Danio rerio: one gene and its partner. The protein of the gene in region 1 interacts with the protein of each later gene in a pairwise test. Links are inferred from orthologs where the notes say so. Each region holds a gene or a part of one and is shown on either strand. Other genes may lie near its edges.

Region 1 (3,959 bases):
CACTCTATTGAATTCATCACATCCACAACACACAATCTATAGCTTACAGTTTGAAGAAGGTTGTCCCCAGCTGAAGTAGCAGAACATGAGGGAGTCTGTGCTCGTGCACGATCAGAACACCCTCCACAGTCCGCCGCATCCCGATTTTCTCAAATTCTTCCCGCATCCGCTGAAAGCGTGCGGCTACCGAGCTGTCCTTCTCATAGAGCGGCTCCTTGGTGCCGAATGTGTAATTTGTAAGAGGGTATCTTTGGAAAAACAAACATGTTATTTCATTTAAATTGAGGTGTGATAAAGCTTTAATAATCCACACACTGCAAAACAAAACATAGCATCATAACAAAATAATGAGGGAAAAAAGATGGCAAGCACTGTATGTGGCCGCTAGTAGTAGGGCTGCACAATATATCGTTTCAGCATTGATATCGCAATGTGAACATTCGCAATAGTCAAATCACGAGTATATGCAATGTTGAGTCTGGGTTATAATTTACAATATTTCAAGTGTTTTTGAGGCCTGTGATTGTGTGAGGGTTTTAACAGCATGTGTACAGCTTTTAACTAAAAAATAATAATGATGAATTTGCTTGTTTTATTTTACAATTAATCATTTACTGTACACCTAAATGCAGTTTGACTCCTCAAAAACAATAAAACACTGTTTATGTAATTTGTATTTTTCTTTATTGAATTTTTCTATGCTTGTTTCTTATTTTTTTATGCATGCACTCTTCTACAAAATCATCCCAATCAATCTAAAATTTCTAATTCTTTCCAAATAGGCTTGTAAAATTGTATTTATATTGCAATTTATGTCACAGAACAAAAACATATCCCAATGTTAGATTTTTCAAATACAGTGCAGCCCTAGCCGCTAGTCATGTAAATTTCCATAAAGCTTCAAAACCTTTAAGAATCTTGTTTTCAAATAAGTGGTTGCATATCAAGGGGTCACAAAAAGTCACAATTTATGTAATGGAGGATGCATTTCATCATAATTATTTCAAAAAGTTATTAAAATCCAATGGTTCATGTATCTGTGCGTCTGAATTATGCCAGATTCCCAACTGTATTTATCAAAGCTTGTGATTGGTTTGTTACTGTATATTATTGCAAAATCACTCCCTTAATAAATCACCTAAATTATGAATTCTTTTTGAATAGACCTACTCATTTCATCTAGTAAAATTATCGCAATGTACATCGCAGAGGATTAAAATATCACTTGGTAATTTCTCCCTAATATTGTGCTGCTCTAATTTTGACCAGAAGGCATTACCAATCTGTGGTATTTTGAATGTTTAAAGGTTTTGTGAAGTGCTTTGAAATGGGCATTTATATTCCATGTTTGAGGTAATCTCAACTGAAACATAATGAAATGGTGGCAGTTCCTCCCCTTTAGAAAATAAAAACAGAGAATAGCGTTTTGTTTTTATCACAAACAATCTCTGCCAATGAGAGTGTTTGAGCTTAAGGCATCAAATGAATAGCAAATGAGAACCATCTTGGCAGGGGGTGGGGTTTATGCTCACATACTAGAGAGCATTTGATTGGTCAAGATTTGGTGAGTAAGTAAAACATGAAGTGACCTATGAATAATCATAGATTAGGCGGAAGTGACAAACTGCGGGCTTTAGATGTGTATATATCTTATAACGCAAATTGAGTCACTGTTTGAGCACACTAGCTTATAGATATCCTCAAAACTAACATCTAAAAAGCTTTATTTTTACTTTTTATTTTATTTCACAGGTCCTACCTTTAAAAGAGCAATCATTTATTAATTTTATACAAAGTGTAATTTGGATCTTGTGCTCGCCTATTATGGGCGTTTCATTCCATTGTGTTTTCATACAGCTTTTTGTACAAATTAAAAATAATACTCCCAAATAAGGGTTTCAATATCAAATTTGAATTTACATTAAAGATCATTCATATTAATATTTGATTAACATTGGCATAAGGTTAGCGTTATTAACAAAATCAACAATTATAATAACAATTCTACCGTCACTCAATATAATCAATGATTGGGATTTGTTTACGTAACTTGCTCAAGAATTCGACTGTTTGATTTCTAAGTCATACTTAACGTTACACCAAAATAATAACAAATAACACCATAAACCACAAATAATCAAATAACATTTCAATAACATTGCGCCTGTCGACTAATGTTAGTGATATTTTCGAATAAATGTGCAAAGAGCCCTAGGATAAATCACCGAGAACAATGCTAACTGCAACATATGGAATACAAAACTAATAAGAACTATATCGAACTCTTATATTTCAATATCCCTGCATATGTACACACTGCCATAAATGTGCATGCATTTTGCCACATAAAAAACAAAACTCTGAATATTTCACTGTATTGTTACGCATGCAAACAAGAGCTGGCAGCAAGAAGCTACGGTAGTCTGCCATGGTCAAACGCTAACAATGCTAACGTACTGACATGAAAGGCACAATGCAGCAGCACTAGGATTTACAACCATTAAAGCTTGTTTAAGTAATCGCATATATCGTTTGTAGTGTTGAATTTTAAGTTCAAGTTACTCACAGGTTGATTGTTCTCTCCAGGGTGAGGGGTTTAGTCGCCTGGGTAATGTATTTATTGCCGAACTGATTTACTCCTCGAGGCCAACCGGTAGATGATCGATTAGGAGGTACAACTGACATCGTATGACGGATTATTAAATCACTTCCTAATATTTGCACTAATCGCGTTTTTTTCCACGTTGATTACTTTATTACTGTGATTGAATTGCACAGCCTTGGCGCTCGATGAAAACTGGAATACGGCGCTCTGCTGTGAAAGCACATCCGGGACATTGGGTTACTTCCTGTGTTACGACCGTGTGTTTCGGCTCTTCAGATTTTTCTCATCTGATCTATGAGCAAGAGTTGTTTTCCACATTATAAGTAGTGGGTTTGAACAGTCCAGACACGATTCAAACCCTTACCCTTCAAACAGAGGGTTTGTGGTTGTTTATTACACTTTTCTGCCTGCTACAAGGCGTGTTTTGGTGTCTGTTAACCTGACATCACAAACACAAGAATACCACAGAAATGTCCAAACTAGATTATTAAACCATGTATTAATCAGAAAAAGACAGTAACAATTAAACCACTTATATAGCCTGTAATAGTTATTTAGGGAATTTTACCATTTAATGTTTGCAAGATTGCTTTGTGTATACGTAGCCTAATTTTTGCTTTAATGTAAACAGAACAGTTTTTTTAATACTTTATACGGACCTTTGGTGTTTTTAAAACATCATCAGTCGGTGCTATTCCCACATATCAAAAAATATCTGGCCCACATAATCAGCTTTTGCTTGGCCCACTTGCGGCAGTAAATTATGGTATATGAGTGGACCAATTCTGGCTTTTAGACAAGGACCAAACATGGACAATATCTGGGCCAAGTCTCAGACAAGTTAATAACCCATAACTGAGCCTAAACTTCACCAGATATGTTTTTGTATCCCGTCTGCAATGAAATTGATATACTCAGGGATCATTGCGCTTTAGGCATGCTATGGGCTTGCTTTTTCTCGAAGCGATGATTGGTACTTGGTAGAATTTTTTTCTTTATTTGAAAATAATAAAAATGTATTTTAAATGTGGGTCAAGATAAGCCTAACGTTCATGGCTCATATATCAATTGTTAACATCTGGCCCGAGTAGGCCTATTGTGTGCCGTCTTAAAGACGGTGCCACCTCTGCCAAACCAGGGCCATGTTTGGCCTACATGCTGTATGCCAGTGCCAGACAAATGCCTGCCCTGCCAGATATATGCCATATCTGGGTCAGAATTCTTTTCTACCTGTGTTGGAGGCACAACAAGTTAGCCTACACTGAATCACTTGCATATTTTGCTAAACATGTGATCAATTATTGCCATTCTTTAAGCCAGGAATGTCAAACTCAGTTCCTGGAGGGCCGCAACC
Region 2 (4,274 bases), on another chromosome or scaffold:
TTTTGAAGTCTATAAGAAATATCTGCTGTTGGAGGCAAAGGCAACAGAGGAAATCCCATATAGTCAGAATTTACGTTCTCCCTTCTGGCTTCTTCAGGGTTTTTCTGCATTTTAGGAGCTTCAGCTGTTCGTGTGTCTGTGCTTGATGATGACTCTGTGTTTACTTCCGCTTGCTGACTGTGTAGTTGTGCTGAAAACAAAATAAGCATATGATAGTTGTTAGACTTTCTACACATGCAATTTATTTAGAGAGAATACCAATGCATTACCATACCTGCATTTCGGCTTGCCCAGTTAACATATCTCCTTCTGTCTTGTAATTTCTGCTTTGTTTCCTCCACGGTTTCATACTCAGGAGCATAGCAGACATGCAGCTGACCCCCGAAGAAGCTCTTTTCATCTGTGTGCCTTTTAGCTGCCCTGTAAAAAAATAAATTAATTAATTAATTTAAAAAAAAAAAAAAATTATATATATATATATATATATATATATATATATATATATATATATATATATATATATATATATATATATATATATATAGCATGGCAATATCCACTCACTGGCCATTTTGCTAGGTACACCTGTCCAACTGCTCGTAAACACCAATTTCTATGCAGCCAATTACATGAAAGCAACTCAATTCATTTATGCATGTACATGGTCGAGACAATCTGCTCCAGTTCAAACATGAAAGCATGGATCCATCCTATCTGCTCAATGACATGCTATCATGTCAATATGGACCAAAATTAATGAGGAATATTTCCAGCTCCTTGTTAAATCCATGCCAGAAAGGATAAAAGCAGTTCTGAGGTCAAACCCGGTACTAGTAAGGTGTACCTAATAAAGTGGCCGGTGAGTGGATGTCATTCAGTGTAACAATAGTTTATAAGAAAAACAATTTTTGTCAGGCATATTTTTAAAAATCCCAGTACAGCTATTTTTACTTTGACACTATCCTAAAAATATATAGTTTTATTAAAATATAATTAAAATAACTACGATTACTTAATTCCATATATTTGAAATAATTATTCTTTGATTTTTGCTTTGGTTTAGAGGGGAAAAAATATGTAAAAAAGTATTTATAGAATTATCAGCAATAAATACTCTTTATAATATTCTTAAAATGTTTAATGGCAGTAAAGAGATTTACAGTGTTATTAAAGAGAAAGAGACACTAAAGAACATTAAAGAATCTTGAACAAAAAAAAAAAAAACCCTTAGATGTTTTGGATGTTAAGTTGTGCAACTTTACAACATTGATAATAATTAGAAATTATATACTGCACAACAAATCAGCAAATTAATTATTTCCGAAGAGTCATGTGACAATAACCATGTATAAATGCGAGTACCAAGCATGAAAATTACCCTTCATCCTCAACACAATACATTACACTTTTAAACAAGATAGAAAATGTGACAATGTAATAATACATCCGATTGTTGATGCTTTGTTTTTAGTTAAAAAAATATTAGCTGACTTGGTGAGCATAAGATGCTTCTTTCAAAATCATTTTCAAAATGGAAGACTCCAAACAATTGTATGGTAGTGTGTGTACTGTATATAGTTTTCTATATGTGTTTATTTAATATTTTAATAATGAATCATAATGTTTTAAGTCACATTTTGTGGAACCTACAAAGACAGTTCACTCCAAAATAAAAATAGACATCATTTACTCACCCGTTACATGTCACAAACATCGTCTGAGCTGAACACAAACGATATTTTAAAGAAAGCTTGAAGCCGGTAACCATTGACTTCAATACTATTTATTTGTCCTACTATGCAAGTTGATGGTTACTGGATTCCAGATTTCAAAATATCTTCCTTTGTGTTTCAAACCACTTGAGGGTGAATAAATTGTTATTGTTACAGTATTTGAGTCAACTATCCCTTTAACTAAAAGTGAATGCGACTCTGCAGTGCACCAACATGGTACATTGAGGTAAGGATGGTTTTAGATTCACACATTCTTTCAATGACAACTTGTGACATGCTCCCTATATTGTTTACCATGGTACTTTTAATATTGGGTTTGAAATCACATGCAAGTATGACTTCAAATCAGCATTACCACTATTTATTTGACTGTGAACAATGTTGAACTTTGATAGTCACTAGCTGCTAATTTGATTCACTATTAAGAATATGCAAAGAATACTTTTCTGAAATTATATCATCAACAAGAAAAATATGGCACAATATATAATATATGGCACAGACTCGCATGGGACATGATTTAATCAGCCTTTTCTTACCGTGCACTCGTCAACTTCTGGAACTGAATTAAGTAAACCTCAGTGAACTCTTCTGCTGGGTATTCATCCAGTGGCCTGTACTCCTCGATCACTCCATACAGAGCAAACAGCTGCACCAGCTCAGCCATCACTCCAATAGCGGGCACTCCTTGAACTAGTAAATACCGAGACTCCAGGTTGATGGTGTACACCTAAAATTAGCGATTCAGCCATTATTTTTATAAGCAGAGATTCAGTTCTTGTGAGAGAGACCTTAAAGACAACATGACTGCTTACATTGACGCTGCACAATTCGATGAGATAAAGGCATTTATAAAATAAACCGACCTTAACAGCTTTGAGGCGTCTTCCTTCTCTGTATTTTGGTCGCGTTTGGGCAACATTTTGCTGCTCGTGATGTTTATACACTTTTTGTGTGTCCCACACAGAGGAACTAGCAACTGACCCGTCCATCACTGTGGAAATCAGCGACGAAAAAAAACAGGCTTTCAAAATAAAAGTTCCAATTAGAAAAAATAAATAAAAGCCCGCTTTCCCAAAAGGATGCTAATAAAAATAATATTAAGAAGAATAATGATGATGGTGATAAAAAAATATTATAATGATAATGACGATGATAATTATAATAATAATTCATTTACACATCCAAATTATGATAAACACTTCTAACAAAATAAAATAAATATCAAAAAGATTTGGACAAAAGTCAAAATTGTAAGATGCTAACTCGCAGAAAATGTCGCAACTATTATAAATGCAGACGAATTAATTATAAACTATATTATAAATTTATTTTAAGTTTTTAACGTTTAAAACAAGCTTCTTTTTTTACCCATTTAAAGGGTTAGTTCACTCAAAACCGAAAATTCTGTCATTATTTACTAGGTTGTTGACTTGTTCCAAACCATTTTGATTTACTTTCTTCTTAACACAAATTAGGATTTTTAAAAATACATATAATACAAAACTTCCATATAATTATTTTCAGCATTCTTCAAAACATCTCTTGTGTTCAGCAGAATAAAGAAACTCAGAAAAGCTTGGAACCACCTGAACCTCTGAGTAAATAGTGAGCCCATTTGATTTTTTGGGGTGAACTCAATATATTACTATAAATTACTAGTAGGCCTATTTAATGTGGGAGATCATTATAAAAATTATTAGAAAATTAAGCAAATATATACTATTCAGTTGCTGGAGTAAAAGATTAACAGTGTTTTACATTTATTAAATGTAAAAAGATTTGTACATTACATTGATATAATGATGTAGGCTATTAGCCTATCCTGTACATTAGCTATATTTCATTCATTATGCATCCATTAAATAAATTAAACCTGTCCAAATTAGATCGTTTAAAATGTTTGAGCAAACGAGAATCTGCTATGTTGACTTTGTCAGATAAATAATGACTGATCATCTATGATGACTGATGGAAAACTGTTCAGTGTATTATATTGAATGGTGATTATTCCCCATTCGCCCGTCTTGATCGCTATATTTGTGAAATGGTATGCCTATGCATTATTGTTTACAGTGTTTGCCTATACAATACATATTAACAATAACCTTATGTGTAAAATATATTGATGATGTCCGAGAAGAGGTTAATAACATTAACACCCGTCTAACTTAGATCGTGTGTGCCTGAAACGTGTGTATATCTGCAGCTGGATAAGTTTTAACCCCAAAACACACACATATTAAATAAATGAATAACGTATACATACATTTTGCGGGGCTACTCATATTTCATTTAATAAATATTAATACTAACACACGGACATGTTTGCACAGTATTGCTACAAGATCATTACTGTAGTTGTAATTAAAACCCGGCTAATGACCAATCAGCAGCAAGGACTGGACATATCCGTTTTATAAAATGGTTTTATCATAGGCTGCTATTTCATAAGGTATGACAACAGATTCTTGACAGAAAGGAGCACGAGGTTCCTCTTTTCCCCATCATTCTGTGATACAGGCTTTGAGCAGCATCCCT

The links. The genes of interacting proteins can lie anywhere in the genome.
Region 2: the proteins of nudt21 (region 1) and rbm48 interact in a two-hybrid assay, tested with the Homo sapiens proteins (2 studies listed by BioGRID and IntAct). The link is inferred for Danio rerio from reciprocal best matches to the Homo sapiens genes NUDT21 and RBM48.

The regions. Positions count from the first base shown.
Region 1 is NC_133193.1:24,124,144-24,128,102, forward strand, and holds the start of nudt21 (cleavage and polyadenylation specificity factor subunit 5), read right to left. Parts: upstream 2,812-3,959; 5' UTR 2,686-2,811; coding exon 2,567-2,685; intron 249-2,566; coding exon 48-248; intron 1-47. UniProt on the Homo sapiens protein: Component of the cleavage factor Im (CFIm) complex that functions as an activator of the pre-mRNA 3'-end cleavage and polyadenylation processing required for the maturation of pre-mRNA into functional mRNAs.
Region 2 is NC_133194.1:42,804,402-42,808,675, reverse strand, and holds the start of rbm48 (RNA-binding protein 48), read right to left. Parts: upstream 2,803-4,274; 5' UTR 2,726-2,802; coding exon 2,600-2,725; intron 2,464-2,599; coding exon 2,273-2,463; intron 421-2,272; coding exon 275-420; intron 191-274; coding exon 1-190. UniProt on the Homo sapiens protein: As a component of the minor spliceosome, involved in the splicing of U12-type introns in pre-mRNAs.